2 linked regions of the Nothobranchius furzeri genome follow. The protein of the gene in region 1 interacts with the protein of each later gene in a pairwise test. Links are inferred from orthologs where the notes say so. Each region holds a gene or a part of one and is shown in the gene's direction. Other genes may lie near its edges.

Region 1 (3,929 bases):
GCGCCGGCCCGCCGTCACCTGCTGAGCCATCAGAAAACGCCCTGAAGGAATAAAGGCAACACTTTAAAGAGGACAAAAGCAAAATCCACCTTTTGGATATTTTCAGTTTTACTCTAAATATGAAAAAACATGTCTATCCATTTTCTTTCACTATTTAGTTTTAAGAATTATTTACTTAAATTATCTGTTTCAAATTTTTTCTCAGATTGTGACATCACAAAAGAGGAAAGCTATATAAGATCTCTCCAGAGATGTTCAATCAGATTCAAGTCTGGGCTCTTGCTGGACCATGTCCTACACAGAGTTGTCCTGAAGACACTTGATACCATGGCTGTGTGCTTTGGATTATTGTCCTACTGAAAGATGAACAATCACCTCGGTCACTCGGGAGCAAGTTTTCATCCAGGGTTAGTGTTATCATCTCTGTGCATTGCTATATTAATCTTCCCCCCTGTCCTGACTAGTCTCCAAGTTCCTGCTGTTGAGAAAAATCGCCCACATAACGATGCTGCCACCACCGCTAAACCTTTACCGATGGGAGTCGGTTAAAGGTTGTGACAAGAACATTAGTCAGCATCATATCTGGCTTCCTATTGGCTGGGGGACTTTAGGCAGGATTCGCGAGAGGAGGGCACAGAGGGAAGGAACTGAAGCTGAAGGACTGAGGACATTTGTATTAGTTTAAGGGCAGAAGAGTCCATTCGAGAGCAAGTGAATCGGAAAAAGGGACTTCAAATGTGAACAGAGAGCAGCAGAGTAAGAATGAAAACAACGATTAATGCCAGCAAATCGAAAAAAAGTATAGCAGAATATTACTCCCGCAGACAACCGTCCACTTAGCAACTTTTTATGCTTCAAAGAAAGCATGAAACAGAACCGAGCTAACACACCTACCAGCAGCGGAACTTCCGTCCTCTTGGTGTCTGACCCACAGGGTGATCTTCCGGGTCCTAAAGCCGCCGTCCTTATCAGCCCTTCACTGTTCACCAGAGACGCCCCAATCCTGTCCTACAAACAAAAACATACCGCTGATATGACTAAACTAGGGTTATGGTTTCAGACCTTAAGGCTATGCTACTGATTTTACAGATTCACGTGTGAAGCATGGGCTAATCGAAAGCAAAAACATCATGTTGAATATTTCTGATTTGATCGTTTGGGTGAATGGTTTGGCTGCTACATGAAATATAAATGTTAAAATACACAGCAATACAAAAGAAAAATAAAAAAATTCAGCTCTGTTGTTTGAACAAATTGTATGAGACCGGCTCCCGATGACTCCTTTCTAAAAATGATTTAATAAAACACTCGTCCGTGTGAAGCAGAACAGAATTCTCATAAACCTGAACATCTGTTGGTGCAGAGTGTTTATGGAGCAGAACATCTGGAACAGCAGCAGAAACTTGTGAGGAAACCAACACGGAGTTGGCACCATGAACGCTCCATGTGAAGTTTGTGGTTTTAACGGAGGAGCATGAACGCGCCGCGGACAGCTCTTTGCTCTTATTGGACCATTACTTTACCACGTGACAACATGGCCGCCAGTGACCGAAGTAAACATGGTATGTTGAGTTTTAAATATATTTTAAGTGCCTATTGAGAACTTTCTGGACCCATTTCTGAATATTCGGCTTGTTTAGAGCACCCGCTATGTGGGCGGCGGTTCGGACCGGTTTACGGTCACTAGCTGTTCGTATTAACCGTCAGGTCCACATGTCTTTTCCTTAGGTGAGGACAGCATCCTGGAACCGCTGTGTTTTCCAGACCCGCCAGCTGGATGCTCCAGCGCTGCCAGTTTGGAGCGGCCCAGTTCGGACCTGCTGGTCTGTCTGTTCTGTTCAGAGTCCGTACCCCTGCTGCTCAAAGACACTCTTCTCAGACACCTGGTGCTGGATCACAAGCTGGTGATCGCTGATGTCCAGCTCATCGCAGACCTCTCAAAGTACCAACCCATTCCGACTGACCAATCTAAAGTCCGATGTAAAGTCTGGTTCTGATCTGATTGTTTCCAACAGGTACCTGCAGTACTGGAAGGGCCGGTTCCTGGAGCAGCCGCTCACAGAGTTCTGCAGTGTGATTAAGACCAACTCTACTGGACCACTGGGTCAGTTCCCATACCAACAGAAATGAACACAAACTGAGTCCAACCTCTAGAAACGGTCTAAAGGAGGTCCTTCAAAGCTGATGACACGTCTTTGTCCCCACAGAGAAACAGGAAGACTACTTCCTGTTATGTGACATCCTTCCAGAAGACCGGATCCTTAGAGAGAGACTCCAGAAGCAACGACTGGTGAGACTGGTTCAGACTTGTCTTGGTCCACTCAGCCAATTAACATGTACTGAATAATGAACTGTGCACATAAACACACTCAGAGCTGCAGCTTTCCGGAGAACAGGTCACATGACTTAATCTCCGGACTCCAGGAGCATCTTTGTCCTTCTGTCTTCTATAAGTAGTGTCCACTAGTGGTGCCTTCAGTGCTGCTCTCTGTTAGATCCTGTATCACACATTACACACATGCAGGATGTACGTACCTGGTCATACCTGGTCAGGTGGAGAGTACCTTTACTCTGGTTTTTGTTTCCACCATGATGAGCATTTGTCTTCTACAGGAGGAGGTCCTTGAGCAGCAGCAGAAGGAGAGAGATGACAGCAGCTTCCATCATCTCTGCATGTTCTGCAGCGAGGAGTTCACTGGAAACAGGTTGTCCAAATCTGACTTCCTTTAGTAGAGGTGTTTGAAATCACTTTAAAGGGACAACCCTGTTTTATTACTACTTTTTTTATTTGACTACGTAGGCTCATGGATGATGGTATCAGTGGGTCTTAAGACCTTGGAGTATTTTGAACAGACTTTCTGGGTTTTAGGTCATCTTTGCTGAACCACATGGCAAGAGAACATTCCTTCAGCATCGGCCTTCCAGACAACATCGTGTACTGTGATGAGTTCCTGGACACCCTGCAGAACAAACTGGACTCGTGAGAATCAAATCACATTAGGTTTACTGTCGTGTGGTGCACATGATCTCACACCTGTTCCTCGACTAGATGTCGCTGACACTTATGCTAACTGAGGCTGGTCTAGAGAGGGTAGAAGTGCTGCCCTCAGAGTGACCGGTCTAATTTCAGCTTTAGATCTTTTCTTTAGTACGGATGCAGGTTTCAGACATTCTGGCGACACAAATGAAACAACTGATGGCTTAAATCTGTAAAAAATGATCTAAATGTTAAAGAGGGCATCACAAAATGTGTCATTGTTTCTGTTTCAGCCTGCAGTGTTTGTACTGCGAGAAAACATTTAGAGATAAAACCACGCTGAAGGATCACATGAGGAAGAAAACTCACAGACGCATCAACGCCAACAACCACGACTACGACCGCTTCTACGTCATCAACTACCTGGTAACTCCACCTTCTCCTTGCTGCGGTCATCATTACTCATCAGTTACAACCGTTAAAAATGTTGTTTGGCGAGGCGCAGTAATTAGCATAACCATAGCGTCATGGTGTTCTTAGCATTCTGCCCTCTGACATCCCAGAGTGACTCACTGCGGCAAAAGTTCCGATCAACTCATAATTTACCGTTTAGACGAGGGACTTGACGCTATTTAACATGAGTTTTTATTTCCAGTTTCTCGTAGTTTGCAGCAAGCAGAAACATGCCTCCTCAAATGTGACAAACAGCAGAGCCTCCATGACTCAGTGTCACGGTCATGTAGGTCAGTAAAAACCGCTCTTTAGGGTCGAAGGTCTGAATCCCAGCCGGGTCTCTAGTCTCCTGGCCAGTCTTTTGGGATAGGCTGCACCTTCAATGACCCTGAGCCTGATTAAGCAGGAGCAGAACCAAGAGGACCAAGGTCCTGACATGAACGCTGTCCCTGTCTTCATTGGACTGCTGGAGGTTTATCAGTCCATCAGCAGTAAACAA
Region 2 (3,145 bases), on another chromosome or scaffold:
AGAGCAAGTCAACCCCTACCAGAGTCTAACTGCACTCCCACTTCATGTTTGAAAAATGCAACAAATGCTGTTGCCTGGCAGACCGAGAAGGCGGAGCCGCCAACAAATACACACACACAGGCTCACAACAGCATTGTGACATCATAATGTACCAATTTACATCATAGCATACCTCTTAGCCAATAGCGGTGGCAGATTTAAAGAGCAAGTCACCCCTTACAAGAAGCGTACTTCACTCCCACTTCATGTTTGAAAAATGCAACAAATGCTGTTGCCTAGCAGACCGAGAGGGTGGAGGCACTAACAAATACACACACTCACGACATTGTGACATCATAATGTACCAGTTTACATCATAGCATACCTCTTAGCCAATAGCGATGGCAGATTTAAATTCAAAAGCAGTGAAGAGTTTTTACCTGACAACGGCACAACACTGACAGTTTCAGGCAGAAATTTTAAATTTTAACTAAAATGCACTAAAGTGCTAAACTATTGACTACACGTGTCTGCAGCATGATTAGACACACATTTATATAGTTTATCAGAAAAAAGTAGTTGATTTGGGGGTGACTTGCTCTTTAAATTAAAATACAGTGCAGAGTTTTTACCTGACAACGGCACAACACTGCCAGTTTTAGGCAGAAAATTTAAATTTTAACTAAGATGCACTGAAGTGCCAAATTATTGACGACACGTGTCTGCAGCACGATTAGACACCCATTTATTTAGTTTATCAGCAAAAAAAAGTTTATTTGGGGGTGACTTGCTCTTCATAAGCTAGCTTGTTTAGATGGTTTGCTATAGGGTTAGGGTAAATGTTTTTGAATGACTCACAGCAACAATAAAACCATGTTTTACGTCTGTAAAATTTGTGGAATTCATGTTTGGGTTGTTAAGATTCCCAAAATTGCACATTCTGAAGTGGATTGCCTCCAAAAGTTAATCAGTTATGTTGGTGATTGAATATAAGTCCACTCCTGAGATGATGTACTAACAGAAAGGGCCGACTTCAGGGAAAACCTGACGAGAACCTTTGATTTTGAGTCATCAGTTAGGTACGGAAGACATTTTAAACCTATCAATCAGCTGATGTACGTCCACAAAAGACCTTCAGGTAAAACATCTGGCTGATCATGAGATGTACAAGCAACGTTTTCACCCACTTTTTTATTTTGGTCATGCACAAAACAAACAGTAAAACTTTTTTCATGGACATTTTTTATGATGTAAATATTGTTTGTTTCAAACTTTTGGATGTGAATGGAAAACTGCCGTGCAGTCATGTTTAGACCAATGATACGCCTCCACCTTGACAGGTAGAGGCTAAATACAGATTAGCCTTCTTATCAGAATGATCCGATGCATGAAGCACCACCCTTTAACCCACATTCATCTGCACTCAGACTCACAGTCAACTAAAATTCTGATTTGTTTGTTAAAAGACAACAAATATATGTTTTAAACATGCAGACAAATCCAAACAGACACCTGTGTGATTCACAATCGCCTTTGTAGGCAAACTTGAGCTACACGGCATCGTTCTTCAATGGGGCTTCTTTAAATCAGATTAGCAGATTAGAATTGTTGGTGCAGATTACTTTATAACCCAGATTGAGAGAGGGGAGAGGGATTCTTCTGCAGGATTTTGGCAGTGAAGGACTGTTGCCTGTGACCATTTGTAAGTCTCATTTGAAACTCTATTTTTAATATTTTAACATCCTGAACATGTTAAGCATTTCTTTTGCTTTGACAGACGATGCCTGTCATAAACGTGGAGGATCTGACGGACAAGGACAGGGCTTTAATGGAGGTGAACCAACTCAAAGTTGAAGTCAAACTTGAACGGTGGCTGGTAAGTTCTTTACACTGACACGATTAAAAAAACGCACAATAACAGCAATCCTTTTAAATCTGTTGAATCAAAGAGCAGATAGCTTCATTCAACGCTCCCTCTTGTTGTTTTAGACGTCTAAATGCTGCGAAGAAATCAAGGACTACATTCAGGCGGGAGTGGAGGAGGACACCCTCGTCAAAGGCATTTCTGAGGAGAAGAACCCCTTCAAGGAGAAAGGTGGCTGTGTCGTCTGCTAAAAAAGACCTGGGGAGCTTTCTACATCTCAGATTAGCACCCAAGGACATTCTCTCTCTCCCCCCTGCAAAATGGATTTGCAGAAGGAGACTAGAAGGACACGATAAAAAAGAGTTCATAAAACTGAATCCCTATCCTCAGGCCAGATCTGTAGCCTTATAACCTTATTCTTTGAAAAGATGCAATAAATAAGTTTATTTGGCAAATGTGAATGTAGTCTGGGCAAACGGGTGTCTGTGTTGTTCAAACACTGAAGCAGCTGTCATTATATGTGCATGTTTATAAGTCAGCCTGTCTCTGTGATTGCCTCGGGGCTGACAGAAAAGTTAGCATTCATCTCCATAACTCAGTTTGCACGCATTCAGTTGCCCCAACTTTTTGTCGTAATATAATACAATATGCTGCAGCATAAATCACAGGTAAAAATAAACTTTAAAGAACTCCCTGTGTATGTATTTATTTATTTATTTCTCATATGCAAAATTTTCTAATATTCCTGCTTTGGGGTAGATTACAGGAAAACTTCGAATGCAATACAAAAAAACCTTCAGCGTGTTTATTTCAGTGCTGAATAAAGAAAGAACCACTGGAATGAAATCAAATGGTCAAATGAGTTTATTTTGTCAGTAGAGATTCATAAAGCTATAATTTTGATTTTGTGTTTGAATTTATAACCATCATAATATTAACCATCATAAATAATTGTGGCTATCATCACTCTAATTTTATACATCTTAATCTCAGTGGCGATATTTTGTTGTCACGACAGGAATAAAGTAGAATAAATCACTCTGCACTGAACAAAGACATAAATGCAACAAATACAAAATTTAATTGTGTACCACATTTAAAGAGCAAGTCACCCCCCAAATCAACTTATTTTTTCTGATAAACTGTATAAATGTGTGTCTAATTGTGCTGCAGACATGTGTAGTTAATTGTTTTGCACTTGAGTGCATTTTAGTTAAAAATCGAATTTTCTTCCTAAAATTGCAGTGTTGTGCCGTTGTCAGGTAAAAACTCTGCACTGCATTTGAATTTAAAGAGCAAGTC

Evidence for each region.
Region 2: the proteins of znf277 (region 1) and gngt1 interact in a two-hybrid assay, tested with the Homo sapiens proteins (3 studies listed by BioGRID and IntAct). The two-hybrid records come from large-scale screens. The link is inferred for Nothobranchius furzeri from reciprocal best matches to the Homo sapiens genes ZNF277 and GNGT1.

The regions. Positions count from the first base shown.
Region 1 is NC_091744.1:55,284,157-55,288,085, forward strand, and holds the start of znf277 (zinc finger protein 277), read left to right. Parts: upstream 1-1,411; 5' UTR 1,412-1,474; coding exon 1,475-1,562; intron 1,563-1,728; coding exon 1,729-1,942; intron 1,943-2,015; coding exon 2,016-2,104; intron 2,105-2,207; coding exon 2,208-2,290; intron 2,291-2,613; coding exon 2,614-2,705; intron 2,706-2,767; exon of another isoform or gene 2,768-2,869; coding exon 2,870-2,980; exon of another isoform or gene 2,981-3,270; coding exon 3,271-3,403; exon of another isoform or gene 3,404-3,929. Other genes in the region: immp2l (mitochondrial inner membrane protease subunit 2), read right to left, coding at 1-41, 376-421. UniProt on the Homo sapiens protein: Probable transcription factor. Involved in modulation of cellular senescence; represses transcription of the tumor suppressor gene INK4A/ARF, perhaps acting via the Polycomb group (PcG) complex PRC1.
Region 2 is NC_091751.1:27,157,375-27,160,519, reverse strand, and holds gngt1 (guanine nucleotide-binding protein G(T) subunit gamma-T1), read left to right. Parts: upstream 1-1,530; 5' UTR 1,531-1,681; intron 1,682-1,756; 5' UTR 1,757-1,759; coding exon 1,760-1,855; intron 1,856-1,968; coding exon 1,969-2,094; 3' UTR 2,095-2,537; downstream 2,538-3,145. UniProt on the Homo sapiens protein: Guanine nucleotide-binding proteins (G proteins) are involved as a modulator or transducer in various transmembrane signaling systems.